Linked DNA regions of Canis lupus familiaris. The protein of the gene in region 3 binds, or shares a complex with, the protein of the main gene of each other region. Links are inferred from orthologs where the notes say so. Each region holds a gene or a part of one and is shown on either strand. Other genes may lie near its edges. The genes, in order: PRIM1, POLA1 and PRIM2.

Region 1 (10,063 bases), on a different chromosome or scaffold from region 3:
CTCATCAGGCCTTCCCTTCAAGTCTGAGTCTGAGCTCTGTCCATATGGAACTCAAGCAGTTTCTGGAAAGTGCCATGCCATTTACAATTTTGTGCCTGTGTTCCCTGTACCAATCCTACCCAATTCTTAAGGAAAATGCTGATACCTATAGACAGCTGGGTTATAAATACACCTATAACACTTCATTACATTTTTTTTTAATTTTTATTTATTTATGATAGTCACACAGAGAGAGAGAGGTGCAGAGACACAGGCAGAGGGAGAAGCAGGCTCCATGCACCAGGAGCCCGACGTGGGATTCGATCCCGGGTCTCCGGATCGCGCCCTGGCCAAAGGCAGGCGCCAAACCGCTGTGCCACCCAGGGATCCCTCATTACATTTTTTGATTTGTGTTTATTGCCCCTATTAGGTTATAACTTTCTCAGAAACAAAAACTATGTCATTAATTTTTTTCGCCCTACAATCTAGCTAAGTGCTCAACACAAATGTTCATTAACTATCTGTGGATCTATCAATCAAATAGATCATCCTTTATATGTTAAAAACATCCGAAATAACAAGAGTCGAACTAGAAAGGAAGTCATGAAGTAGGTGTCCAAGTCTGCAAATAATTTGCGGAGACCTAGGATTGATGGATTACCCAAAGAGGATGATGGTAGATGTATGTAGTAAAAGAAAACAGGATGGCAGACGGTTTATGGCTTGAAGGACAAAGGGGTTTTGCACCTTTGTGGATGAAAGCACAAGGGGAAACCAACTGAATGGCAATACTGCCTCCCAGTGGCACCTAAAATAACAGCCTCTAAAGCAGGGCACTTTTACAGAATAACAACTTTCTGATAGAGTGTGGTTGTGGCCTAAGAACTGTGCTAGGGACTTCTCACTTTATTTCACTTAATTCTGACAACAACTCCTTGTAGAGACACAACATGTAGCTTAGCAGTTAAATGCAGAGAGCTTTCTGGCTTTCCCAACATACTAGGTGGTGTGACCTCGGACCAAGAATTTAAGTTCTCTGCATATTTCCCCATCTATAAAATAGGATAATACTACTATCTACCACATAGGGTTCTTATGAGGGATAAATTTTTTAAAGTAGGCTCTATGCCGAGCGTGGCTCAATGAGCCTGAACTCATGACCCTGAAATCAAGACCTGAACTGGGATCAAAGTCAGACTCTCAATGGACTAAGATATCCAGGTGCCCCAATTAAGTTCTTTTTTTTTTGTTTTTAACAATCCTATACATTACTCAGTGGTCACCATAGTAAGTGTAGTCACCGTCTGTCTCCAAACAGTGTTATTACAATCTTATTCACTATTGGGACGCCTGGGTGGCTCAGTGGTTGAGCATCTGCCTTTGGCCCAGGGCATGATCCCGGAGTCCTGGGATCGAGTCCCGCATCGGGCTCCCTGCATGGAGCCTGCTTCTCCCTCTGCCTGTGTCTCTGCCTCTCTCTCTCTCTGTATCTCTCGTGAATAAATAAATAAAATCTTTTTTAAAAATCTTATTCACTATATTCCCTATGTTGTACTTTTCATTTCTGTGACTTCTTTATTTTATAACTGAAGTTAATACTTCCTAATCCCCTTTATCCATTTCACCCATCCCCCTACCCACCTCACCTCCAGCAACCACTATTTGGTCTCTGTATTTAAGAGTCTGGGTTTTTTTTGTTTGTCTCTTCATTTTGTTTCTTAGATTCCACATATGAGTTAAATAATAAGGTATTTGTCTTTCTCTGTCTCACTTATTTCACTTAACATAATAGTCTCTAGGTCCGTTCCTGTTGTTGCAAATGTCAAGACCTCACTCTCTTTTATGGCTGAGTAATATTCCTCTGTGTGTGTTTGGGGGGGTGAGGTGATATCACATCTTTGTCCATTCATCTATTTTAGATACTTGGCTTGCCTACATATCTTTGCTACTGTAAATAATCTACAATAAACATAGGGGTGCACATATCTTTTCTAATTAGTGCTTCCATTTTCTTTGAGTAAATACCCAATCATAGAATTACTTGATCATAGGGTATTTCAATTTTAATTTTTTGAGGAAAGTCCATACTGTTTTCCACCAATTTACATTTCCACCAATAGTCCACAAGGGTTCTTTTTCCTCCACATCCTCACCAACACCTGTTATTTCTTGTCCTTTTAATTTTACCCTTTCTGACAGGTGTAAGGGAGAAAAATAAATTCTCAAAAGGGTACTTGACAGCATAGCGAATGCTATATAAATAGTAGCTATTATTATTCCCTTTTTCTGATGAGAAAATCAATGTTAAATAAATTGAGTACACAGTAGTAACTTAAAAAAATATAACTTCCTGGGATCCCTGGGTGGCGCAGCGGTTTGGCGCCTGCCTTGGCCCAGGGCGATCCTGGAGACCCGGGATCAAATCCCACGTCAGGCTCCCGGTGCATGGAGCCTGCTTCTCCCTCTGCCTGTGTCTCTGCCTCTCTCTCTCTCTCTCTCTGTGTGTGACTATCATAAATAAATAAAAATTTATATATATATATATAACTTCCTTTGCTTTTTTCCCTTACATCTTAGCTCTCTCAGGTGTTGTGCTCCTTAGTGGTTCTGAAATTCAAACAGGGGACTCTCAAATATTCCAAAGAAGTCAGTTCCTAAAGGCAGCAACGCAAAAACTGAGAAACCTCCATTAAAAAGTCCAGAGGGAGGGGAAGCCCGAGTGGCTCAACGCTTGAGTGTCTGTCTTTGGCTCAGGTGGTGATCAGGAGTCCTGGGATTGAGTCCCATGTTGGGCTCCCCTCTGCCTATGTCTCTGTCTCTCTCTGTGTGTCTCTTATGAGTTAATAAATAGAATATTAAAAAAAAAAAAAGTCCAGAGAGAGACGGCTCTGGAAAAGAGCACTCCCTATGGCACTCTTGCCTTTCTTATTAGAGAGAAGATCTTCCCAGTAACAAAATTCACCCTACTCAAAACAAGATGCATAAGGATTGTGAAAATCAACTAACTTTGTGCACGAAATTAGATTTCAAGGAATATTCAAATAAGTATGATCTGCCCAGAGTCTATTTTTGACCACTTTGCCCACAGAAGCTAAAAGACTGTGATCATTTTCGAGATTAGGCTAATAGAGACTCTATTCTCTCCTTGTTCTTCTACTGTTACTGCAAACATAAAATTCATGAAAATGATGGTTTTCAAGTAACATACTTTGTAATTATAGACTTCCCACCCCACTCCACATTTGCAATGAGGTGTATCTTTACCAGGTAAGATTGATTGGCAGATCGGCACGTTAGTAGCAGACTCCTTTCAAAGCTCTCCATGATTCTGCAAGATTTCTCTAATTCAGATTTTAGGATTCCTGGGTGTTCTATTTGAGAGACTGAGTATACAAACAGTGGCCATATGTAAAGACAGAAGTTTGAGGAACCCTGGCTGGCTCAGGTGGAAGAGCATGCAACTCAGGGTTGGGAGTTCAAGCCCTATGTTGGGTGTAGAGTTTACTTAAAAACAGAACCCTGACCTACAACCTGAAGAAGCCAACCCAGAAAACCAATCCCCCTATCTATAATAAACACCTCAGGAAGCCAGCCTGCTGTAAGTTAGACTTGCAGAAGTCAGATCACTGTCTGTAGTAATAGTCCAGGAAGCCAAACAATAGCCCCTATAACAACTGGCCCCAAATGGCCAGCCCTTGATTAATAAATACCAGCTTCCCTAAATTTTGTGGCCACTTCCAATTTAGGACCAACCAGATAAAGTCAAATATGTGTCCCTACTCCTGGATAGCCCAACTACAGCTTTCCCATTGCAAACAGCCTTGAATCGAGGTATACCTGAAACCTCCCCTCCCCCCACTGTAAAGCTTTCCCTTGCCTCTGCCCGCCTTTGAGTCTTTGCCAAAACTCCAGTGTCTGCAGCTGACCCCTTGCCATATAGCAAACTCTGAGTAAATAGGCTTTGATTTTCTTATTTGCTTGGTCTTCGTTTATTTCCACATATTAGACCTAGTAATTCTATGAAGAATTAATTTCCAAACCCTCTTTAAAAGATACTGGCTTACACTGTTTAAATGCGTTATTTCTGAAACATTCATAAAGTTAGCGGGGAACATCATTTCTTACTTCATCTTAGCACCTACTTCCAGAAGCCCAAGGGCTCACCTTTCTGCACGGGATCCCTCCCGGAACGGAAGCGGCTTTCCTCTGCCCACCAGAGCAGCCGAGTTTAGCGAGGCAGCTGATTCGCTGAGATCCCGCCGGCCCAGGCCAACCCCCAAGAGGGAACTACAATTCCCAGAGGCCCTTGCAGAGGCCGGGGCGTGGGCACAGCGCGCCTGCGCAGTGGCCGAAGCCCGGGTTGTGTGCTTCCCGCCAATTCTTGCGATAATCCTGCAGAGGTTGAGTCCCGTGCTCCATGGCGACGTTTGACCCGGCCGAGCTGCCCGAGCTGCTTAAGCTTTATTACCGGAGGCTTTTCCCCTACGCCCAGTACTACCGCTGGCTCAACTATGGCGGAGGTGATGGAAGCCGGGGGCGGAGAGGGGAGTGGTCCGGGGGGCGGTGAGGAGGGGGCTCTGGGAGGGCGCCTCCTGCGCGCCGGGCGTCCTGTCGCGCGCTCCCACCACCTCAGGGGTGTAAAGGGGCCGAGCGGGCGAGCGTAAGCAGCCTCGGCCCCTGCGCGGTCGGACTCCGGTCAGGGCCGCGCTCGCCGGCCGCGGTGCCTGAGCCCGGGCGACGACTGGGTCCGAGCCTCAGGCTGCAGAGGCGGCTCCCGCCTCAGGGCCCGCGCGCGGGCAGCTCCCGGCAGGGGAGAGCTGCCGACTTCGCAGCTGAGCTGCTTGCGGCCCGCTGAGGAGCCGCGGGTGACATTGCACCTTTAAATATTTCTGCTTTTCCCCCATTTTTACTTTTCCTATCAGATGCAGGATGGTAAGCCCTTTCAAGTCAGGGACTAGGTCTTTTTTTTTTTTTTTTTTTTTTTTTTTTAACATGTAGCACAGGGGATCCCTGGGTGGCGCAGAGGTTTGGCGCCTGCCTTTGGCCCAGGGCGCGATCCTGGAGACCCGGGATCGAATCCCACGTCGGGCTCCCGGTGCGTAGAGCCTGCTTCTCCCTCTGCCTGTGTCTCTGCCTCTCTCTCTCTGTGTGACTATCATTAAAAAAAAAAAAAAAAAAAAAAAACATGTAGCACAGTGTTAGGCACAGAGGGCTCATTAAAATTATCTTCTCATGGGTCAGAGTTATAATGCCCCGAGCTGAATAAAGTACCAAATTAACAAAACAAAACAAAAAGTACCAAATTAACTTTAAAATTGTATATTTATTTTGCAGTAATAAAGAATTACTTTCAACACCGTGAATTTTCATTCACATTGAAAGATGATATTTACATTCGCTACCAATCCTTCAGCAACCAGAGGGATCTGGAAAAGGAGATGCAGAAAATGAACCCATACAAGATTGATATAGGCGCGGTATATTCCCACAGAGTAAGAAGTCTTTTGTGTATTTTGTAGTTTTGTTTTTAAACCAAGAACGGGGGATCCCTGGGTGGCGCAGCGGTTTGGCGCCTGCCTTTGGCCCAGGGCGCGATCCTGGAGACCCCGGATCGAATCCCACCTCAGGCTCCCGGTGCATGGAGCCTGCTTCTCCCTCTGCCTATGTCTCTGCCTCTCTCTCTCTCTCTCTCTATGTGACTATCATAAATAAATAAAATTAAAAAAAATTAAAAAAAAAAAATAAACCAAGAACGGGGCAGCCTGGGTGGCTCAGCGGTTTAGCACCTGCCTCTGGCCCAGGGCCTGATCCTGGAGTCCCGGGATCGAGTCCCACATCAGGCTCCCTGCATGGAGCCTGCTTCTCCCTCTGCCTGCGTCTCTGCCTCTTTCTCTCTCTCTCCCTGTGTCTCTCATGAATAAATAAAATCTTTAAAAATAAATAAGTAAAATAAACCAAGAATGGATTGGTGCCCCCATCGTTCTGAGATTTAATTTTTAGAGCTTATTCTAGTGGAACCCCACTTTAACTTTCTTGCAAGTAAATTGCAGTATTTTTTGTTCCTTGATACTCTACATTTGGAAGTGAGTTGGTTGTATTCTCACTCGGACAAAAATATTGAGTATCTGGCCGAAAGAGTAAACGAGGAAGTCAGCATGGTTTAAAGGACGGTATTTTTAAACAATTACATTGTCTTCCAGCATTGGAGGTGTTTTGTTTTAAGTAACTTCTTTATCCAATGTAACTCTGAGATCGACAGTCACCTACTCCATGGGCAGAGCCAGGCCAGCACCCCATGGAGTCTTGATTCCTCTGTTTCTTTCACACTCTATATCTGTTCCATTAGGAAATCCCTTTAGCTCTACTAAAATAGTATCTGAAATCCAACCACGGGTACCGGTGCTACTACCATTATCATCTTTCATCTGAATTATGGTAAAAACTTTCTAACAATTTGCCCCTATAGATTCTAAAGTCTATTCTTCAGAGAGTAGCCAGAGCAGTCCTTTTATTTTTTTTTTAAGATTTTATTTATTTATTCATGAGACAGAGAGAGAGAGACAGAGACACAGGCAGAGGGAGAAGCAGATTTCACACAGGGAGCCCAACGTGGGACTCCATCCCAGGTCTCCAGGATCATGCCCTGAGCTGAAGGCGGCGCTAAACCGCTGAGCCACCCGGGCTGCCCAACAGCAGTCCTTTTAAAGCAAGTCAGAATCTGTGATTCCTCTGCTCAAAACCATTCTCCAGTGGCTCCCCATTTCACTCAGAGTAGAAGCCCCACTCTCCCCCTCACTCCCTCCACTCCAGCCACACTAACCCTTGCTCAAGCAGTTTCCACTGCCCAATCCCGTTTTCCCAGGTATCTTGTCGGTTCCCTCCCTCACCTACTCAAGTCTTCACTCAGTGAGGCCTACTGTAACCTGCCGCTCCTACCCATCGCTACTGATGTAGTCTAAATGCTAGAATAGTGCCTGGCAGAGAGAGTGCACCATAAACATTTGTTGAACGAGTGAACATACCAAAATTGCCATTCTTTCTCTCCTTAAAAACACACAAATGAGGGGGAGAAATACGCTTATGGGATAATAGCTTTTATATGGAGCTTTTTCTTTTCTTTCTTCCCAGGATTTATTTATTTATTTTAGAGAGACAGTGCAGGTGTGCAAGCAGGGAGAGAGGCAAAGAATCTCAAGCCGACTTACTGGTAGAGCCCAACACAGAGCTGAATCCTCTGACCTTGAACTCATGACCTGAGCCAAAATGAGAAGTCAGACACTTAATGGACTGAGCCACCCAGGCGCCCCAGGCTTTTTTTTTTTTTTTTTTTTAAGTGTTTCCTACTCCTATTATTTTCTGCTCCCCAGAGCCAACTGCTTTCTTTTAGCTGATTCTTAAGGTATTTGCCCCTCGTGTGTAAATAATATTTTTGTATTTCTTCTGTTTTCCATTTTAAGCATAATGTACTTGACCTTCTACTCTGGCAAGTGAGGATTTAGCTTTTTTTTCACCTCACCTTCCCATTTCCACATGTCCCAATATGTTAGATTAAAAATCTGGGTGGCCCAGTCAGTTAAGCATCTGCCTTTGGTTCCCGGGGTCCTGGAATCAAACCCCACATTGGGCTCCCTGGGGTCATGTTCCCGGGGTCCTGGAATCAAACCCCACATTGGGCTCCCTGCTCAGCAGGAAGTCTGCTTCCCCTCCCCCTCTGCACCTGCCGCCCCCCACTTGTATGCTCTCCCTCTCTCTCTCAAATAAATAAATAAAATATTTTTTAAAAATCAGGTTAGATCACTAAGTCAACCCCAAATTTCTTGCCAATTGTCTAATCTCCTAATGTATTCAGACACACCAGGTAGTTGGTCAGTTTCATCCCAAAGAAATTTCACTGGAGCTTTCCAACCTCCAAGCTGGACTGATTGCTCCCTCTAAGCCTCATGGATAAATATGATCCTGTAATCACCCCAGTTTCCTTTCACCTCTCTCCTATTTTGGATCCTGTGTTGCCTGAATCCTTTGTTCTCTTTGTGGTTTACTTCCTGGTTTGGGTAGAGCACATCCTTCAGGAGCTTCCTGAGAAAAGGTGCATGGAAAAGAAAATACTTGACACTTTCTGTATCTGGAAAATGTCTTCATTCTACCTTTAGGCTTAAGTAATGGTTGAGTTTGTAAATCAGTTTCCCCTAGTTTCCAGTGTTGCTGTTAAGACTACTGATGCAGGGGGATCCCTGGGTGGCGCAGCGGTTTGGCTCCTGCCTTTGGCCCAGGGCGCGATCCTGGAGACCCGGGATCGAATCCCACGTCGGGCTCCCCGTGCATGGAGCCTGTTTCTCCCTCTGCCTATGTCTCTGCCTCTCTCTTTCTCTCTGTGTGACTATCATAAATAAATAAAATAAAAAAAAATAACTATCTATATAAACTGCATTTAAAAAAAAAAAGACTACTGATGCAGGGCAGCCCTGGTGGCGCAGCGGTTTAGCGCTGCCTGCAGCCTGGGGTGTAATCCTGGAGATCCAGGATCAAGTCCCACATCAGGCTTCCTGTATGGAGCCTGCCTCTCCCTTTGTCTGTGTCTCTGCCTCTCTCTGTCTCTATGAATAAATAAAATCTTCAAAAAAAAAAAAAAAGACTAATGCATTCTCATTTTTGTTCCACTATGTTGGATTTGAAAGCTCTTAGGATTTTCTACCTATCCCCCGTCTCCCTAATGTTCTAAAATTTGACTATGATGTGCCTTGGTGTGCATGTTTTTACACCTATTGTGCTAGATACTTGATGGGCTCTTATAATCATGAACTCATGTCCTTCAATTCTAGGAAATTTTCTTTTTTCTCTTTTAAGATTTTATTTTGGGGACACCTGGGTGGCTCAGTGGTTAAGCATCTGCCTTCAGCCCAGGGAATGATCCTGGGGTTCAGGGACCGAGTCCAACATCGGGTTCCCTGCATGGAGCCTGCTCCCTCTGTGTATGTCTCTGCCTCTCCGTGTCTCTCATGAATAAATAAATAAATCTTAAAAAAAAAAAAAAAAAGGTTTTATTTTGAAGTAGTCTCTATACCCAATGTGGGGCTCAAACTTAAAACACAGAGATCGGGCAGTCCGGGTGGCCCAGTAGTTTAGCGCTGCCTTTGGCCCAGGGTGTGATCCTGAAGACCTGGGATCGAGTCCCATGTTGGGCTCCCTGCATGGGGCCTGCTTCTCTCTCTGCCTGTGTCTCTGCGTCTTTCTCTCTGTGTGTCTCTCATGAATAAATAAGTAAAATCTTTTAAACAAAACAAAACAAAACAAAACACAGAGATCAACAGTCTCATGCTCTACTGACTGAGCCATCCAGGCACCCCATTTTTTTTCTTAAATACAATTTTTTTTATCTATAATTTTTCTCTGATGTCTCTAGAAATCCTTAAGTCAGATGTTATATGTCTTGGACTGGTCCACTACTTCTTTTCTAATCCTATTTTCTATTTTTTTGTCCTTTTGCTCTCCTTTCTGGGGAATTTCCATTGAGGTTTTCATTTCTGCTATTTTAATTTCCAAGAACTTTTTTTAGAGCATCCAATACTTTTTTTCATTGATACGTCATATCTTTCTGAGGATATCAATGATAGTTTAAGTTTTTTGTTATACAGTGTTTTCTCAAAGTTGCTTTTTTTTCCCCGTTTTAACTCCTCTTTCATATTAGAGGCTTTCCTCAAGTCTGGTAATTTCTTGCATGTTGTTTATATTTAAAAATAGAGTACTAAGGATGCCTGAGTGGCTCAGCAGTTGGGCATCAGTCTTCAGCTCAGGGCGTAGTCCGGGTTCAGGGATTAAGTCCTCTGTTGGGCTCCTTGCAGGGGGCCTGCTTCTCCCTCTGCCTGTGTCTCTGCCTCTTTCTCTCTGTCTCTCATGAATAAATAAATAAAATGTTTTTTAAATAAAGTACTAAAAAAGCTGATTGGAAGATGTGTATACATGGCTAAGATTTATTACAGAGTGATCTGGCTGGACCAATTTTGGGGAAGGAAGTTCTGATGTCAATTTCTCTAGAACTTTGCTTAAATGAAAACTCCACTAGCACAGAGATGTTTGTTTTGATCAC
Region 2 (9,465 bases), on a different chromosome or scaffold from region 3:
AGGCGATTCATTGGAGAATAGTTTGCTTTGTTTCTCTTAATCTGGGTAGTCCTGGTTCTAGGGAAGTTTTTTTCCCTACACTGACCTAGGGTATCTCTAATTTGAGCTATGTCTACACTTAGCTGGGATGTGTCTCCAGTTCCCCAGGGTTTCTGCACTCACCTGGGGTATCTCAGTATTTCCTCAGGTGTGTCTCCTCTCTACTTGGACTTGGGATGTCTCCCCAGTAACTGAGGTTCATCTCCATTTACCTATGATGTCTCTAATTCTAGGGAAAATCTTGACACCAAGTTAGAGAATATTCTGTCCCCTGTCATCTCCATGGTTACAGGTTTTACTAGTGTGATATTGTGTGGTATAAGTACTGAGTAAGTGAACTGGGCTTGCAGAGTGGGCAGCAGATACAAATTTACTGTAAAAAATGTGTCATGAAAGCATAAATGTCTGGACACATACAGTGAGCCTTTATATTGCCTCTTGTGATATAATTGAAATGTTTCTTTTCTCACGGTCCTCTCTTACTCTTTTAGGTGTGGTATTTCTGTTTGGCAAAGTTTGGATTGAATCTGCCAAAACCCATGTGAGCTGTTGTGTTATGGTGAAAAACATCGAGCGAACACTCTACTTCCTTCCCCGAGAAATGGTAATTGTTAGTGGTTAGCCTCTTAATTCCAAGTACATTGTATGTTCTGCCACCAATCGTAGTCTTCACTGGGGCTATGACTTACCCATAGCCTAGATGCTTCTTTCTTGCTGTCTGCCTAGTAACCATTGGTTGTCAGCAGCTCTGTTAGAGGCTGGGAGAAATAGAGAATGGAGTAAAACTGTGTTTTTTGACCCATTACACTGTCAAAGTGTGGGTTTTAGTGTATAATGGTATCTTCTCCCCCACCCCTCATTTCCATAGTAATCAGGATTGGGAGTATATGGCTTTAAACTGTCACATGGCATTTGGCCCAGTTGTCATGCTTCTGCTGTGCAGGCAGCACTGTTCCCTCCACGGCCGTTGAACCAGCTTAGCTACATTTGCTCCTCCTTTTTAAATTACGACTTAGCATCCACACTCCCCTCCTAAGCCCAGTCCCTCCCCTGAGATCTCAGTTGAACTGTGAATGTGAAGCTTCTTGGTCAGGATTTACCACACTATTCTCCCATTTTGTAGAATCAGTCATTTTTATCTTATGTGCTTTTATGATGCCACTGGGAAGATTTGGGCATTGGGGTTAGTATTTTTGGGGGTCTCCTGGTATCTTTGAACTCCTCTATCTATAAGACTGTTCTTCTAAATGTTTAAATGGCTGAAGCTGAAAATTGAATTAGACATGGGTTTCTTGTTGTTAAAAAGATCTCATGTACAGATACTTTTTTTCCCTCCCCTCTCCTCTCCATGGGAGAGCAGAAAATTGATCTAAATACAGGAAAAGAAACAGAAACTCTAGTTACAATGAAGGATGTTTATGATGAATTTGATGAGAAAATAGCAGCAAAATATAAAATCATGAAGTTCAAGTCTAAGGTTTGTATTTGGTGATAATTTTTTCCTGCTGTTTTTATTTGTTCATTTCCTGACTTACAAAATAATTACTGTATATCTTCTTTGCGAAAAATGTCTTTTTTGTGGCTATAATTCATTGGAAATTTCATAGGTATGAATGTAAAACTAATACGTAAGATTGGTAAAACTATTTTTTTCTCTTGGAAAATAATTTTCGTGAATTTGAATAGAAAGATAATACATAGTAATCATACTTGCAGCATATCTTGTATTCTTTTTCTGAAATGGAGAAGAAATTCTTGTGATCTTGTTTTTATTAGTTATTGGCAGGTTGTTTTGGTCTGAAGGTTAAGGTTTTATATTTAAAAATCAGGGACTATGATGCTGTTTCCGATAGAATAAAAATCTTTTATTTATGTGTTACATATTGATTGGTCTTGATTTTAGTGCAATAAAGGACCACCTTTGGCCATCATCATAGGGGCTTGTAATTCAGGATACTTTTAACAGTGATTGCAGCAAAGGGAGGATTGAGTTGCTGAAGATAAGGTTAATCATCTTAACTATTTGAGCTTTGAATTATGGCTGATGGATAAATCCTCTAAAATTCTAGAAATAGTGTGGTATAATGGTAAAGAGCATAGATACTGGGACCAGACTGCTAGTGCTTTCAGTCCTAGCCCTAGGACTTTGTAGTGTGTGACCTTGGAGAAGGGCTGAGTGACTTTCCTGGGCCTATTGTTCACCTGAGAAATTGGACCCTATATCAAGAGTTGTTGGAAGAAAAAAAAAAAGTTCTTGCAAGAATTAAGCCATTGAATTCTTATTAGGTGATTAGAATAGTCCGTGGTACTTAGTAAGCACTCAGTAAATATGAGCTATAATTTTAATGCTAATATTAATTCTCCATTCAAGATGGAGTTGGTTAGTATCAAAGAGTAGCAAATGATTTAATACATTAACATTATAAATATTTTTAATCTTTTATTGCCCTTCTTGAATGCAAACATTTCCAAGTTCTCTAGTGTCCAAGAGAAGTCTTTTTAGCATTTTGTCACTGGGTGTTTAGGCCCAATGGAAAGGGGGAAAGGGTGCCCTTTTGGCTTTATTTACCTTTGTGTTCCATGAGGTTACTGGGTTCCTCAGTGTCGAATACAGGGATGTGTGCTGTGTATATGCTTGTCATTTTAATTTGTAAAAAGCATTTTTCTTAATTATTTTTAAATATCTACTTACCCAGCCAGTGGAAAAGAATTATGCTTTTGAGATACCTGATGTTCCAGAAAAATCTGAGTACTTGGAAGTTAGATACTCGGTAAGTCAAAGAAAGTTACTGGGTTTTGGTTGAGAATGACATTTCTCTATATTTGAAATTTCAATTAGTATCAGGAGGACTCCTCAAGCCCCACAGTTCATTGGGGTGGACTTATAGTAATGAGTAATTAAAATGGATACAATTAATTTGAATATATAGATCATTAGTTTTACTGCCTTTCTCGGCTTTCAAGTATGCATCTTTAAAGATTTTACTTATTTATTTGAGAGGAGGGAGAGTGAGAGAGCATGAGTAGGGGGGAGAGGGAGAAAGACTCCCTGCTGAGTGGGGAGCCTGACGCAGGGCTCAATCCCAGGGCTCTGGGATCATGACCTGAACCAAAGGCAGATGCTTAACCGACTGAGCCACCCAGGCACCCCTTAAGTATGCATCTTTAAATAAGTGAGTTGAAACCACACAACTGCTTGTCAAATGGAATGAATGCCATGTGGTGGAGTTGAACATCATTAGTCTGTTGAAGTGTCCCTTCTGAGCAGCAGAAAAGTGAGAGAGGAACGTCAGCGGCACTGTAGTGCTGCTCTTGCTTCTCTGATAGGCAAGGTCATTGCTGTGGGACATTAATTAACTGGGCCTTAACCTCTTTTTACCTCTGTTATAGAGTTTTGATCTCATGATGTTGGAAAAGGGAAACTTCTAAGAAATGTTTCTGACAGTGGTGATGAAAAGTACCATAGAACCATTTTAAATGAGTTCCACTCTCTTGCTTTTATTCTTCCAATGGAGTGGTACTTACTTGGCTATTTATCAGTAAGGCATGTACAGCTCTGGACAGAAATCCTCTTTTGGGGGAGCTTCTTGGCCTATTTTTCTTCTAATGAGTGCCATCAAGATGCATTATTTTGTCATTGTGAATTGTTTTTGTGTCCTACTGTGAATTGTTTTGGATTTCATGTATTGCAAATTACATTTCATATATATCAAAGGGGTTTCTTCTGGAGGTTCATAAAGAGGCTTTTGTTTATTTCAAATATAGACTTGGGAAAATGTAAAGTAATAGTTTTAAACAAAAAAGGGTTTTTTTTTCTTCTTTGCCTTTTTCAGGCTGAAATGCCACAGCTTCCTCAGGATTTGAAAGGAGAAACTTTTTCTCATGTGTTTGGGACCAACACATCCAGCCTAGAAATGTTCTTGATGAACAGAAAGATCAAGGGACCTTGTTGGCTCGAGGTGAAAAATCCACGTAAGGAAAAATTTACATTTGGAAAGCCAGGTTGCTGATAGAGGAGATTTTTAGAAGTTAAGGAATTGGTCTTTGTGTTTCAGTGCCTCTCCTTCCTTTTTTATGTTGTTTTTCACAAGATGTTCCTTAAGTGAGTATTGGGAATGTGTTTGGATCCACTTTATTGCTGTGGTGCCTGGCAGTTGAGTGGGAGAGGTGTTAGCCCAGGTGGTCGTTTGCATGCATCTCTCTTTGTGCTGTTGTTGGCATGTACTTCTGACCTGGCCGATGAAGCCCACCTGCTATACGTAGTGGACTGCTGACTCTGAAGGAGGGAAAGCATCACTGCCTGATGTGGCTAGTGCTCGTTTGGTTTCTTACCTCATGTTTTCCAGTATTTGCATTTGTGATACTCTGTTTTGGCTTCATGAATCTCTCAAAAATGTTTTGTGAAAAAAAAATGTTTTGTGATTCCTCTAGGGTGGGGTTTTATTTTTTTTTAAAAACTTCTTTGGGTCCTGGATTCTTAAGAAAATCAGATGAAAGCTGTGGACCTTTTTCTCAGGAAGATGAACATACTGTACATACACACGACTTTGCATACAACCCAATAATCGGACTTATTTTTAGTTAGATGTTGTAATAAGACATTCTTATTGGAATATGGGGTTGAAGACTTTCTCAGTTAATCACAGATATCTTAATTATAGTAGTTTTCCTTTTTCAACAAATGGCTATTGATCTGTTTTATCTGTTCTCTTTCAGAGCTCTTGAATCAGCCAGTCAGTTGGTGTAAAGTTGAGGCAATGGCCTTGAAACCAGACCTGGTGAATGTAATTAAAGATATTGGTCCTCCTCCACTCGTGGTCATGTCTTTCAGCATGAAGACAATGCAGAATGCAAAGACACATCAACATGAGGTAAAGAAATTTGTACCTATGCTTTTTAAAATTGTTTTGAAGATTTTAAAAAAGATTTTATTTATTTATTCATGAGAGACACAGAGAGAGAGAGGCAGAGACACAGGCAGAGGGAGAAGCAGGCTCCATGCAGGGAGCCCGACGTGGGACTCGATCCTGGGTCTCCAGGATCACACCCTGGGCCGACGGCAGGTGCCAAACCACTGAGCCACCCAGGGATCCCAGAAAATTTTTGAAGATTTTTATTTATTTATTCATGAAAGACACAGAGGCAGAGACATAGACAGAGGGAGAAGCAGGCTCCCCATGGGGAGTCCAGTGGTGGGACTCCATCCCAGGACTCTGGGATCATGACCTGAGCCAAAGGCAGATGCTCAGCTACTAAGCCACCCTGGTACCCCTGTACCTATGCTTTAATGCAATGCTTTCTTGAACTTGTACAACTATTCTACAAGGGGATATTATTCTTTCTGGAGGAGAAAGAATACTAATGCACTCCCAAACTCCATTTTGGAGATAGAATTGAATTTGTTGGGTGTTGGAGTTTTCATTAAAGACTTAAATTTCTGGACTTATTTTTATTTTTTGTTATTTGAATTTTTTATTTTAGAAAACTTTAAGTGGACTTGGAATAATATAATGAACTTCCATAATCCTTTTACTCATTCAGTAGTAAGCAAGATTTTGTCACACTTGTTTTCCTTCCACTTTGTTTTCCCTGCTGGAAGTATTCTAAAAGCTAAGGTCAGATATTGTGTAATTTACCATTGTATACTTTGGTATGCATCTCTCAAAACATATACACTTTCTTGTAGAATACCATTATTGCACTTAATAACTATACCAGTGATACCTTGATCCAGTCTAAAAATAAAATACTCAGTCCATATTCATATGATTCTTTTTATCAAAAATGTCTTTTGGGATTATTTTTGACATCCATTAGTTTCAGGTGTACCACATAGTGATTTGATGTTCTTATGCACTATAAAATAATCACCATGATAGGCCTAGTAACCATCTGTATTACCACATAGTTATTACAACATTACTGACTCAAAAATGTTTTCTACCAGTTGGTTTCCTTGAATCAGGATTCATGTAAGATTCACAGATGTTTAATTTTTTATATCTCTTGAATCTCTTTTAAATGGGAGCAGCTTCCTCCCACTCTCTTTTTCTGTTGACATTGACTTAAGAATCACTGTTTATTGTCTTATAGAATGTCCCATTTTCTGTTTGCTTCCTCGTGTCATTGGACTTCTTCCTGTGTACCGGGGTTGGCACGGTATGGCCTATGGGCAAATCTAGCCTCACCATCTGTTTTTGTAAATAAAGTTTAATTGAAAGACATCCTGCCTATTAGTTCACAGCTGCAGTTGCTGTAGTTACTAGCCATGACAGTGGCCATGTGACCTGAAAACCTAAAATACTTAGTACTTGGCTCTTTACAGAACCAGTTTGCTCACCCCTGCTACTAGTTAGCACTAAATAATTTATTAGATTCAGTTTTGACTTTTTGGGTTAGTGTGCTCTATAGGTGTATGATATATTTCATACTGCATAATATATCAGCAGGCATATAATGTCTGGTGAAACCACTGTTAGTGGGGCTGTGATTGATTAGTGGGTTCAAGTTTTCATCTGAAAGAGAAGTATTTAACCTTGTCACTACTAATGTTTTGGGCTGAATTATTCATTGTTGTGAGGGCTGTCCTGGGCATTGTGGGATGTTTAGCAGTAACTGTGGCCTCTCCCCGATGCCAGTTAGCACCCCTCCCCCCTACTTGTAATAACCAAAAATACCTCCACACATCTCCAACTGTCCTCTGGGGGTGGGTAGCAAAATTGTTCCCATTTAAGAACCATTGATCTAATGGCTCCCCCCTTCATTTTTTTTACCTGAATGAGTTATTTCATTAGAAGTTGTAAAACAGTGTTTTAATTCTGTCATCCTTTCCACGTTTATTAAACATGTTAAATATTAGAATGTTTAGGGACACCTGGGTGGCTCAATGGTTGAGCATCTGCCTTTGGCTCAGGTCATGATTCCGGAATCCTGGGATCGAGTCTTGCATCAGGCTCCCCATGGGGAGCCTGCTTCTCCCTCTGCCTATGTCTCTGCCTCTCTCTCTCTCTCTCTCTCTGATGAATAAATAAAATCTTTACAAAAATATTAGAATATTTATTAAATTTTTCTGTAACATTAACTTTTCCTCATTAATCAGCACTATTTGGTTATGCTGCAGTAGTTTGTACAGGAAAGATGAGGTCATTGTGTACTTTCTTTTTCATTGCCAATTTTCTGAGTAGGAAGTTGGGGCCCTACATTACATGCAATATTGACCAGTGATTTGTTAAATAAAAAAAAGTACCTGTCTTCTAGCCTTCAGGCTTTGCAGTACCATTTAACAAGAAAGAAAGTAGGGCTTCAGAGAAATTGCTGATTCAGGGCAGAAAGTGTCCAAGATGAGCCCGAAGTATCTAGTTCTACTAGAAAGCCAGGACAATATTAAAATCTACTGAAGATGTGTCACAAGAGCTCAGGAGTCAACTTGAAGAGTTTTCCAATGGCCAAAGATGGAATAGTTTGAGCATGGATATAGATGGCTGCAGCAGATTGAGACAGATGAGTTCACCCTGATACCATAAGCACAAGTGACCCTGCAGTGGTCATCTGGGAAAGTGGCTGGGGAACCAACTCACTGGTTTGGAAACTGGTCAATGAAGGGATTGAGTCTAGCATTTCTCTTGACCTTTTTGAACTCATATTGTACCTCAGGTAATCAAATAATCGATAAAGGGAAGTGTCTCTTCATAGAAGGTTTCCATCCAAGAAATGATGAAGCAGAATTTGAATATTATGACTTTGCAATCCCCCGTGAAATAATAGATGTAGCCAGTGATCACCAGTGGCTGCTAGTATCACTAAAAGAGAGCTAACCAGACATGATGTGCCTGTGCTGTCTGATAGAAGCAATCAGTGGCAACTCTAACATATTTGTCCCAAAAAACTGAATATGATTTTGATCAGGCCTTCAGATCTAAATATGAATTCACCAGCAGTGTAGAAATAGAGGAACATGTTAGATGGTATTATTGGGATACAAGCAGCAGAATTGATACCATGTGGTATTTTATGAGACAAATGACCCAGTTTCTTCAACAGATGAATTGCAGGAAAATAATAGGTGGGGAGGGGTTGTGCCTATAGTTTTACATATCAACTAATCGCAGAGTATGGGCTTACTTGGTAAATAAAATTGAGATTGTTGGGAAAACATGAAAATTTGAATCTTACCTGGATATTTAGTGATTTTAAGGAATTACTGTTAATCATATTAGCTATGATTGTGTTATATTTTAACAACTTGTTATCTTTTGAAGTAGTGGTTCTCAGTGGGGTGAGATTTTTGCCCTTTAAGGGGCATTTGGCCAGGTCTGGAGACGTTTTTGGTTGTCACAATTTGGGGGTGGAAGGTGGTGCTGTTGGCAGCCAGGGATACTGCTAAACATCCCACAGTGAACAGAATAGCCACCATAACAAAGAATTATTTGGTCAAAAATGTCCATAGTGCTGAGGTTGAGAAACTTTGTTTTAGAGATACATGCTGAAATATTTGTGGATAAAGTGATGGGTCTGGGTTTTGCTTCAAAATCATCTGGATAGGGATCCCTGGGTGGCGCAGCGGTTTGGCGCCTGCCTTTGGCCCAGGGCGCGATCCTGGAGACCCGGGATCGAATCCCACGTCGGGCTCCCGGTGCATGGAGCCTGCTTCTCCCTCTGCCTGTGTCTCTGCCTCTCTCTCTCTCTCTCTCTCTGTGACTATCATAAATAAATTTAAAAAAAATAAAAAAAAATCATCTGGATAGAGGCAAGAATAGGGATATTGAAGAGTTGATAATTGAAGTTGGGTGATAGGTGTATGAGAGTTGATTGTGCTGTTTTTCTCTCTTAGTAAATGTTGAATGAATGAATGAATGAATGAATGAATGAATGGGAGAGAGATTCTGCAGCCCTGTGTAAATTAGATGGCTTCCTAAGGGTTTAACTTACTTTGTTAGTAAAGTTGTTGACGCAGCAAATGTTTCTAAACCATGTGCTACTGTGATGGAATACTTGTGACTCATAAAAACAGAGGAGGAGACAGATACCAGCCCAATAGCAGAAATAGATGTAAAAGTTACAGAAGGATACACGTACTCTGGATAGCATCTACTAAAGGAAGCTGCCCTAGCCTGGGAGGCCAGGAAGATATCACTGGTTAGGGAAGGTTCTTGGGATGCTCTGAGGATCAGCCCCTGTGGGAGAGTGAAGTGCATGCTCTACCGACTGAGGCAGCCAGGTACCCTAGAAAGTACAAATTTAAAAAAGAAAATAATACCCACAACCCCTCTTCCCCAGCTATGTCCATGGTTGGCATCCTCCAGATTATTGGTCACACATATCTATAGCTTGTTTTTTAAAGAATGAGTCTTTGGGGCACCTGGGTGCCTCAGTGGTTGAGCATCTGCCTTTGGCTCAGATCATGATACTGGTGTCCTGCATCAGGCT
Region 3 (10,074 bases):
GAAAAAAAAACTTAAAATAAGTATGTTATGCAGCCAAAATTAATACAGAAAAAGAACACAAAGTTTAAAAAAAAAAAAAAAGGCAACTAACTCCTTCTCCCTCTGGGTGGCACTATATTATAACAAACCAACTAGCAAAAGAAAATATCTTAATCTAATGGGCACTAGCCCATACATCTCAACTCCTAAAAATCTGTACCAAATACAAGGGTATGTTTGAGTCATTCTTTTTTTTTCTTTTAAGATTTCAATTATTTATTTGAGAGAGAGAGAGAGAGAAATTGAGCATGAGCACAAGCAGGGGGAGTAGCAGGCAGAGGGAAAAACTAGACTCCCCACTGAGCAGGGAGCCCAATGTGGAACTGGATCCCAGCACCCTGAGATCATGACCTGAGCCAAAGGCAGACGCTCAATTGACTGAGCCACCCAGGCATCCCCGAGTCTTTATTTCTTATAAATAGTGACACTTTTTTTGTTTTCTGGGAAAGCAAAAGCCCTTCTTACTGAAATCCCCTCCAATTTCAAATCCCAAAGGAAGAAGCTGTCCCATGAAGCTAACAAGTGTTTCAACAGGTAAATTTTACAACAGAATTTTTTTCAATATTTTTCAGTAAACAACTGGCTTCAAACAATTCACTATAGCAGTGTTCAACTCATGAATCGCCAGTTTCTGATGTTATTCTGGGTTTTTCTATGGTCAGTACAATATATGTCAGCTTCCCATGTACCAATTTATAACCCAAGATATCAGATTCGACTGTGAGACTGTAAACGTGTACTCACGACTGGCAATAAGCAAGGCGTAAAATGAAGTGAGAAATATGATCTTTTCTTCGTGGTTCATATTCATCTTCTAAGCTTTCCTTAAGAATAATGGCACATGAATAAAATAAATGCATTAGAATGGTAACAAGTATATAAAGAAATAGAGATAGCATAAGCCAATGGTAAAGTAAAAGTTTCAAAAACAAATTTCATAAATATGCCCTCCAAGGTAATTACCATTTTACTTGTTAGCCATTAAGTGAAAATGAAAACTGAACTGATCTCAACAAAACCCCCTGGGTTTGGACTCTACTCTTTTCTTCCTATCAACCCCTCTCTTAACTTCCTTTCTTACCCAGCCTATACCCAGTTTTCTCATCTCTTCAAACACCCCTTGCATCAACCTTCAACTGCTTTCATTTAACCATCTGGCAAAAACCTAGATTTTAAATAAATCTACCACTACACTCTACAGATCTATTACCAAAATACTGAGAACCTCTGGGGGAATAAAATACACAATTACTGAGAATTTGGAATATTAAAAATTCACAACCTCTAACATGTACTGGACTTTTACAAGCACCAAGTGCTTATTTAAGTTCAACACAGTAAGAGTGAGCAGTCTTGAGGTACCAGGCACTATTATAACCATTTTTAATCTTATTAACCCATTTAATCCTTTAAAAAAAATCTGAGGTAAGTACTACTATATCCCTATTTTAAAGATGAGGAAACTGAGGCACAGGGATGTTATATAATTTTTCCAGGGTCACAATGCTTATAAGCAATAGAAAAGGGTTTTGACACATAATCATCTTTCCTCACTCTTAGAAAAGCTGTTTCAGTCTTCAATTGTTGAGCTAAGCTCCCTACCACACCACCTTCCTGTTCTCTCTCAACAGATAACTTCATCTAATTTACAGAAAATAAAGGCCACCGGGCCAACTTCTTCAGCTCCGAGCTTCTGCATCCACACTGTACTAGTGTCCCTTCCATCTCTGTGGACAAAAGATCTCTCCCTCCTCCTACATCAGCTAATCCCTAAACCTAAGCCATGCAATCCACCTGCTCTTGCCTCCTAAGTATCTTGATTTATCAAATGCTCTCTCAAATTATCTTCAAATTCTGCTCCTCTTCTCTCTCTTCTAGGTTCTTCTCTCTCTTCGTCACTCAGTTTATAAGCATGTTCAAGTAATCTCCCATCATGTTTGTATGCCTTCTCTTTTCCCTATAAATTCTTCTATATTCAGATCTATTTCTCTTCTCTTTTCAGCTAGCCATCTTACAAGAGTACATATTCTGTACCCACTTCTCTCCTCCAAACACTGCCATCATTTTGGCTTCTGCCTCCATCTACAAGGCTCCATCAAGCTGATAAATCCAATGGTTTCTGTACCATTCATCTTACATGGTCCTAAGCTTCTGAAATATGTAGTTAAAGATACCACCATCATGGAAACAAAATGTCCAGATTTGAAATCTTGGCTCTGCCACTTATCGTCCTATAAGCCTGGGTCAGTTATGTAGCTTATCAGTAACTCCATTCTCTTATCTATAAAATAGTGGTGACAATTGTACCTGCCTCATAAGACTATTAACTGGATTACATGGGTTAATATATGTAATATGCTTAGAATGAACTCTGGGATACAATAAGTAGAATATGAATGCTTCCTCGTTATTCTTATGGTATTGGTATTTATATCACGATCATTATGATGTCAGCTCCAGCCCTCCTTGGCTACCATGACACTATCATCCCTGCTGATCTACCTCTCTGGCAATTCCTTCTCAATCTCCTTCCTAGACTCCCCCAAATCTACTTCACTTCAAATATTGGTATTCTTCACATCCTGTCCATCATCATCTTCTCACTCAAATATTTTCCTCCTCCTGATACCAACCTTCCTCTTTAATCTATATTCCCACTCCAGGTGTCTCCCAAATCTAACCTGCACGTATACCCAACTATCCACTAAGCATTTCCACGAGCACCTCCAATTCATGTTTAGAACTCAACATCTTCCTTCTAAGACTTGCTTCTCCTTCTGTATATATCACCTCTCAAACTACTATCACCTTCCACCTACTTGTCCTAACCAAAACCTGGGAGTCATTCCTAATTCTCCTCTCTCTTCTCCCTGCAATGTCACTAGAATCTGTTTATTTGACCTTCATAATATCTCTTAATATCAGTCCTCTTCTCCCCATTCAATTCACTCTCATTATTTCCAGGTTACCTGTTTTTCCTCCTACCAGATATGGCCCATTCAATCTGCTGTTGGCAGTCATCTTCCTAAAATAAAAATCTGATCACATCTATCAGATTCAGTTCCAGCACTAGCTAGAACTGGGATGTCTTCCCAAACCTCCCCAATGTGAGCTGGGTAATCCTCTGTACTCTTGAAGTTCCTAGAGCACATATCTATCGGCATCCCTCATGTTGTGGTGCACAGGGTACATCTGGCAATGTCTACAGATACCTACTGGACAGAAGCCAGAGACACTACTGAGCATCTACCTGCACCAAGGAATTATCAGGCCCAAATGTCAATAATCCCAAGGTCGAGAAACCCTGCTGTATTATGATCATCTGACTATATGTCAATCACCCCTAGTGGGCTGCAGATATATCTTCAGGCAGAGTCTATGCTATATTAGTCTTTTTTAAAGCCCTGGGCCTAATCCAAGATCTTTTCCACAACCAAGACCCACTACAGAAATATATACAAACTGAAGAACATTTCTTTCCCGCTTTTACTTACTCTGAAGGAAAACTTGAGCCTTCTGATCTCATTCTCCAACTTACTTTGGTATGGCTCAATTCCTTTCACATAGCTTACACCAAGATTTTCAACTGCTTTTAGCACTAGAAAATATTATAAAAACAGAAGAGAAAATGTATGAATGCAAGGTAATTTTTAAAAACTAGGTCCCAAGACAAATGAATGGCAATTCCATAATTACTTGTTTTTAAAAGATGACAAGTTGTAACACCTTTATTTTTTGTAAGTACATTATACAAATTACATAAATTTATAAGAAGATAATCTCCATCCATGTGCAGAAAATATCCATGTCCCATAACATAATCTAATACCAGGGATTCTCAAGCAGAGGGAGAGGGATGGGGGATAATTACTCTGGTACTGAGCCACCACTGTCAAGGAATTCATGTGTGCTGGCATGAAAAAAAAATTAAGCACCCTTGTTTGCATCCCTAACGTTGTTTGTCAGTTTGCTTCACTGACTCAGCATAGACTCCTCAGAAAAAATAGCCCTTCCTTTACTGATGAAGTAGAGAAGAAGAAGTAAAGAAGTAGTAGTAAAGAAGCAAAGCCCCCCCGTGTACTAAATGAACTGCCTTGAACAGAGGCACGTATCTTTCAAAGGTTTCCAAAGTACCTTTTCAATCCTTCCTCAGAAGAATTCTACTTCCATCAATATGAAAAGCATTTTGATAATTCAACAATGAAAAACATCTAAAATGAATCCTGAACATAAACCCATGCCCCACAGGTACATCATGATGGTATCCCAAACTAAACTAATTCTCTTCCCTTCAGTCCTACTCCTCTTCCTGCCATACCATCTCCATTAGCACAGGTTCTAAGCACCAGGTCATCCCAACTGAAATTTCAGCCACTCCCACCTGCCCCTCCACTCCTCACATCCAAATAATCACCAACTCCTCTCAGGAACACCTCCTCAGTATCCTGTAAATCACTCCCTTCCTATTCCTGACACCATTACTGCCTTAATTCAGGCCCTCATCATCTCACCCCATAAATGCCAAACTCAAAGGGCACTTTTCAATCATCATCTTAATCTATGAAGCATCTGACACTGCTAAGCTTCCTGAAACCCCTTTCTCTCCTGTCTTCACTCTTTCACTCCACAGGCACTGAGTGCTCTCTTTCTGCATTAGCAGGTGCCACTCTACTCCTCTAAAAGTGACTAATATTAGCTCACTTTACCTTCTGATTTTCCCACCAGGATATCCTGGAACAGAAACTCAGAAGACACTGCTATTACTTCTGCTTCAATTCATGCCCAGCTTCTTTCTTTCTTACACTAGCACACAGAGGATAAGCAGGCCAGCAGTACAAGTGCCACATCCTCCTTACACACCAATATTACACCATTAGCTTGGCACAAAATGCCCTTGGTTATCCATTCTTCTCCACCTATCCTGAACTTGTCACTGTTCCCTCAAATATAACATTCTCTCATGCCTCCAAGCCTTTGTATAGTCCATTATCTCATCTTGAAAAAAAATCTTTTACTTTTCTTTTGAGAAATTTCTACTCTTCCTTCCAAGTCCAGACTACATTTTAACTTCTTTTTTTTCATTTCAACTTCTCTAAGCAGTCTTAATCACTCTCACCTGTTTCAAGAACACTACTATTTACCTCTAGTAAGACATTTAAAATACTAAATTATGATTATTACGTTGGATGTCTGTATCTATGTACTAGAATACAGCTTCAACAAATATGAGAATTACATTATTCATCTGAAAATCCCCACCCAACCTAGGGTATAGTGCCACTCAATAAACATACACTGTGCAGTAAATAAAAAGCAAGCCCTCAATAAATATTTCTTGAATTAACTGAAGGAAATAAATTACCCTCATTCATTCCACAAAAAGTGTAAGTGAAGTTCTCAAGAATATATAAACGCTAATTCAAATATCACTCACATTTAACTCTATCGATAGCCAAGCTTTCAAACTCTATCAAAGATATGTTTTCAGAAGGTGGCTCCAAGTAAAACTGAAGGCTGTGAGGGTAGGAAGCCTTCCGTTGGTCACCTCCCAACCTCAGTTTTTTGCGCATTCCCCCTGAAAACTGCATCTCATTCCCCTGGAAGGAAACATAAAATGGTTAAAATGATGGCAAGTGGGGTTGACCACAAAAAAAGTGCAAAAAGAAACTTCACATATACAGAAAAAAAAAAAAAAAAACCTAAAGGTCATGCATAAAATGTTAACAGTGACTATCCCTGGGTAATCTGTCTTTCTGCCTTTTCCAGGTTTTCTACACCGGACCTGACACAGTTCCGTCATGAGAGTGGGGGGAGGTGTATGCAGGTGGAAGCCATAACTCGCGGCGACAGCAAAGTCAGGCTATGTTACCTGTTCACTCTAAGTCTATGTGCCACCGCCCTTAGATCTCTGCGGTCGCGAGAGTTAAGGTGGGATTTAACACGGGTTGCGATCCTGAATGTGGAAGAAAGCGCGGCAGGTTCTGGCTTTGCAGAGACTGAATGCACCGGGCCCAGTTACTTCCTACCTCAGAACCCTGGGAAACAGAACACGTCTAATCCAGTCTTTCCGGGCTTGTAGGAAAGCATCCAAAGCCCCTTATAAAAATTACCCGCCTCCATCCTAACCGAGCCCTTCTCAGGCGAAGCTTCTGTCCCCTCAACTCGCTGGCACCTGTGTCTGCCCCCAACCTACCGACACCCAGTACCTTCACCCCGCCATGTCATCCTTCGGCTCTCACCGCCCGCAAAGTGCTCTCCCTTCTTTCCCCACTTGGAAGCCTCAACACCAAGATTACTGTCCGTCCTAGAGCCGCAGGAGATCCTCTTACCTGCAATCACACCAAATACGAAAACACACAAACCCCAACAGCCGCTTTCCTCAGATGGCGGGAGAGTTCGTATGGGACCGGAAACGGAAGTGACGAGGACAACAGCGTCCCTTCGCACGTCCCGCCCACCCAGCGCGCGCCCTGCGCATGCTCCGTGCGGGGGCTCCCGGGTTCCCGGGGGCTTTGAGCCCGCTTTGCCGGCTTAGAATTTCTTAAACTCGATGGTTTGTGTTTCCAGATTGCAAGCTGTACCTCCTGTACCTGCAACCGGGAGCTTTTGACGAGTGACACTGGGAAGACTAGCGGTGGAAGTTCCCACGCTCCCAAGAGCCTGGCGCCTTAACCCACCGGGTAGACTGATCGCTCTGGAGCTGGAGGAGGATGCCGCAATAGGCGATGGCTGCGCTCCCTTCTCACCCGTTGGGGGCTCTTGGGGGCTCTGTTTTCCCTTGTTTAATCTTTTCTGCGACCCTATAAGGTAGGTTGTATTACTTCCATTTTAGAGATGAGAAAATGGAAGCTAAAAGATGAACGTTAGTTTGTCCATCTATGCACAGCACGTTCTCTTTTTTTGGTTTTTTTTTTTCCCTACGGGACGGCAAGCACCGTAAAGACAGATTCGACCTTCTTGGGTTCCCCACCCCCACCCCCACCCCCACCCCACGCCTCGCGCTTAGTAAGCCCCCGCAAAATGGCTGGAGCTAGGATGAATGCACACACGCAGATCGCGCTCCGGGACCTGCAGAAATTTGAAGAGATTAGGCTCAGAGGGAAGAAGTAGGGGTCCATCGGAAGCAAGCGGTGGGTCAGAGCCACACCAGCTCTCCAAAGGAGATCTGTAGGGTTTTCAGGAGCTCGAAATAAGCTTCACTTGTGGCCTCTAGGAGGCGTGCCTCACTAAAGTGGCTGAAGAAAGATCTGGTGATCATTGCAGGTGAAGAGCGCTTTGAAAGGAAACGTCAGGTTTTTAGAAATGCAAAATATATCGAAACAATACCAAACTTCAAAGCACCTACCCATCGTGGATCAAGCTGCGGCTAGCCCTGACTTTGTATCAGGACGTGTTCTAAGTGATTTCTACATCAATTCATCAATTCTCATAACTGTATGAGATAGGTTATGTTATTAACCCATTTTACAGATAAGGAAACCACAGAAAAGGGCAAGAAGTTAAGTTACTTCAAAGATCGTATAAATGACAGGGCCAGGTTCAAAGTGAGGGAGACTCCAAGCACCACAGTGCTAACTAGCATACAGTACCAATTCCACGTTTTGGTTTTTTTTTTTAAGTTTTATTTATTTATTTATTTATTTATGATAGTCACACAGAGAGAGAGAGAGGCAGAGACACAGGCAGAGGGAGAAGCAGGCTCCATGCACCGGGAGCCCGACGTGGGATTCGATCCCGGGTCTCCAGGATCGCACCCTGGGCCAAAGGCAGGCGCTAAACCGCTGCGCCACCCAGGGATCCCTAATTCCACGTTTTGACAGCAGTGCCTCACTTTAATTCTTTCCTCTCTGTATCAGACAACATAATTAACATAACCTGATACAAAGAAGACACCTGAAAACATGAGAACTGCCTGAAAAACCTAGAGCACAGACGATAGGAACATTTACGTGAATATTTATCTGATCTCTGGATAGGAAATTAATGTAAATAAAGTACAAAGAAATCTAAAGATTTGACTATAAAAATGTAAAATCGGGCATCTTAAAAATTCACAAAATTTTTTGCAGTCATCAAACTAGGGGAAAATGTACGATGACTAATACCATCAAAATGTAAAGAGCTTAAGTAAATTAGAAAAAAATGCTGACAAAAACTGAAAAGTGGGAAAAGAACAGCAACAAATAACTCCTAACCAATCATGAAATATGAAAAAGTGTTTATTATTGACAGCAAAGAAATTTTCCTCTACAAAACTGGCAAAGATTTTACAATGAAAATAGTGCTGGGCAAAGTCCAGTACAATGAGCTCACATAGGAATTGTTGCGGTACTAAAAGTCTGGAGTACGATATAGTAATGTGTATTATGAGCCCTAAAAGAATTCATACAGTTTAACTTAGATGAATCTGTTCAGAAATGGACACAAAAATTTGTGTTCGAGAAACTTCATTAAACCACTATAGTAGTGAAAACCCAGGAAAAAAGAATAAATAATAGTATAGTCCTATTATGGGACATTACACAACCATTCAAAATACGTGTTTTTGAAGACTATTGACTTGGGAAAATGCTTAGGATACTATTAACAGCAAAATACAGAAAACCATACATGCCATATAAGCCCAATCTTGTAAAAACATTACCTAATTGACAAGTCATTTTTCTTAAAGGTTTATTTATTCACAAGACACACACACATAGGCAGAGGGAGAAGCCGGCTGCATTCAGGTAGCCCGATGTGGAACTCGATCCCAGGACTCCATGATCACACCCTGAGCCAAAGGTAGGCGCTCAACAGCTGAGCCACCCAGGCGATCCAACAAGTCATTTTTAAACTACTTTTCCCTAGTAAATTAAATTTTAGAAATTTTGGAAAATGTCAAAAAGAAAATCCACCTATGATGCGGCAATCTGCTTATACTGTCACCCAGGGACAGACACTGTTAACATTTTGTTTTAAGCAATAAAATTGCATGGTTGTGGGCAGCCCGGGTGGCGCAGTGGTTTAGCACCGCCTGCAGCCCAGGGCATGATCCTGGAGACCTGGGATCGAGTCCTACGTTGGGCTCCCTGCATGGAGCCTGCTTCTCCCTCTGCCTGTGTCTCTGCCTCTCTCTCTCTCTGCATCTCTATGAATAAATAAATAAAATCTTAAAAAAAAAATTGCATGGTTGTTGAGAATGAATGAATGAAAGTTGCTCTTGCCATACTAGTACATTTTCCTACAATGCTTCTGACTTCCACCAGGGGACAGCCCTCTGCAACTCCTGCTTCGTACCTCCACTAGTGCACCAACCTCCAACCTCCCCCCCTTACTATCTGGGCAGATGGTATCCATTGGAATTAAAATTTTAGGTGCAAGACAGCCACTCTGAGATATACTTAGTTTTTATTTAACTTAGCTTTATCCTTAGTCCAGTAGTAAAGCATCCCACCTTTGACTTAAATGTCAATACCTCTTTCTCTACAATAGTTGATATCTTTTATAGTTCTTCGGACTGTTAAAGAAATTAGTCTCCTGGGGCATCTGAGTGGCTCAGTGGTTGAGCTCCTGCCTTTTGACTCGACGTGATCCCGGGGTCCTGGGATCCCTGCTTCTCCCTCTGCCTGTGTCTCTGCTTCTCCTCTCTGTGTGTCTCTCATGAATAAATGAATAAAATCTTTAAAAAAAAATAGTCTCCTACAAACATAAACATGTTTTACATTAATGGCAACTAAGCAACTAGCAGTGAGGTAGACTATGAGACATTTTATGGTATTTTTAAGATTCTGTTTTAATCGTTCAAAAACATCTGAAGGCTTTCCACAGCATGGCCCCAAGATTTGATCATCTTATTGCCTACCACTACCCTCCAACATATGCTCTGAACTACTAGCTCTTCCCCAAAAGACCTTGTACTTCCCTACTTTGTGTCTCCAAAAGCCCTAACCAGCCCTGCTGTAAGACTTCTACCCATACTTCAAGTAGTCAACTGCTGCCTTCTTCCATCCTATTGAGCCTTTGCTTATAGGCTGCTCCTCATTTAAACCACCA

Evidence for each region.
Region 1: the proteins of PRIM2 (region 3) and PRIM1 are in contact, whole or in part, in a crystal structure (PDB 5EXR), measured with the Homo sapiens proteins. The link is inferred for Canis lupus familiaris from reciprocal best matches to the Homo sapiens genes PRIM2 and PRIM1. Residues at the interface, in NP_000938.2 of Homo sapiens: Glu165, Ala168, Ser169, Pro171, Ser172, Phe188, Ala189, Leu192, Phe195, Arg196, Gly197, Arg198, Val200, Tyr201, Leu202, Glu203, Asp204, Gly205, Phe206; in NP_000937.1 of Homo sapiens: Lys147, Glu148, Asp149, Phe150, Gly151, Phe152, Ala180, Val181, Gly184, Ile185, Glu187, Tyr188, Ser190, Leu191, Lys193, Lys207, Ile208, His209, Pro210, Ile212, Arg213.
Region 2: the proteins of PRIM2 (region 3) and POLA1 are in contact, whole or in part, in a cryo-EM structure (PDB 8G9F), measured with the Xenopus laevis proteins. The link is inferred for Canis lupus familiaris from reciprocal best matches to the Homo sapiens genes PRIM2 and POLA1. Residues at the interface, in XP_018121015.1 of Xenopus laevis: Pro34, Pro35, Thr36, Glu37, Asn38, Ile39, Ser40, Leu41, Ile42, Phe44, Glu45, Ile49, Ile107, Phe110, Ile111, Leu114, Cys117, Gln118, Ser119, Glu120, Asp121, Arg123, Ala240, Arg241, Leu243, Val245, Val246, Gln247, Arg251, Leu252; in NP_001082055.1 of Xenopus laevis: Leu842, Lys853, Ile894, Pro895, Glu896, Leu971, His974, Arg977, Glu978, Leu981, His982, Glu985, Gln988, Lys989, Asn991, Glu993, Asn1007, Asn1009, Arg1101, Asp1102, Glu1106, Gln1109, Glu1221, Asp1224, Gly1225, Asp1227, Ala1229, Leu1230, Met1233, Trp1234.

What each region holds. Positions count from the first base shown.
Region 1 is NC_049231.1:1,325,082-1,335,144, reverse strand, and holds the start of PRIM1 (DNA primase small subunit), read left to right. Parts: upstream 1-4,314; 5' UTR 4,315-4,396; coding exon 4,397-4,499; intron 4,500-5,313; coding exon 5,314-5,471; intron 5,472-10,063. UniProt on the Homo sapiens protein: Catalytic subunit of the DNA primase complex and component of the DNA polymerase alpha complex (also known as the alpha DNA polymerase-primase complex - primosome/replisome) which play an essential role in the initiation of DNA synthesis.
Region 2 is NC_049260.1:20,335,757-20,345,221, forward strand, and holds part of POLA1 (DNA polymerase alpha catalytic subunit), read left to right. Parts: intron 1-530; coding exon 531-643; intron 644-1,399; coding exon 1,400-1,516; intron 1,517-2,735; coding exon 2,736-2,810; intron 2,811-3,872; coding exon 3,873-4,011; intron 4,012-4,755; coding exon 4,756-4,910; intron 4,911-9,465. UniProt on the Homo sapiens protein: Catalytic subunit of the DNA polymerase alpha complex (also known as the alpha DNA polymerase-primase complex) which plays an essential role in the initiation of DNA synthesis.
Region 3 is NC_049233.1:24,768,518-24,778,591, reverse strand, and holds the start of PRIM2 (DNA primase large subunit), read right to left. Parts: upstream 6,480-10,074; 5' UTR 6,369-6,479; intron 5,637-6,368; 5' UTR 5,628-5,636; coding exon 5,474-5,627; intron 3,638-5,473; coding exon 3,534-3,637; intron 864-3,533; coding exon 784-863; intron 1-783. UniProt on the Homo sapiens protein: Regulatory subunit of the DNA primase complex and component of the DNA polymerase alpha complex (also known as the alpha DNA polymerase-primase complex) which play an essential role in the initiation of DNA synthesis.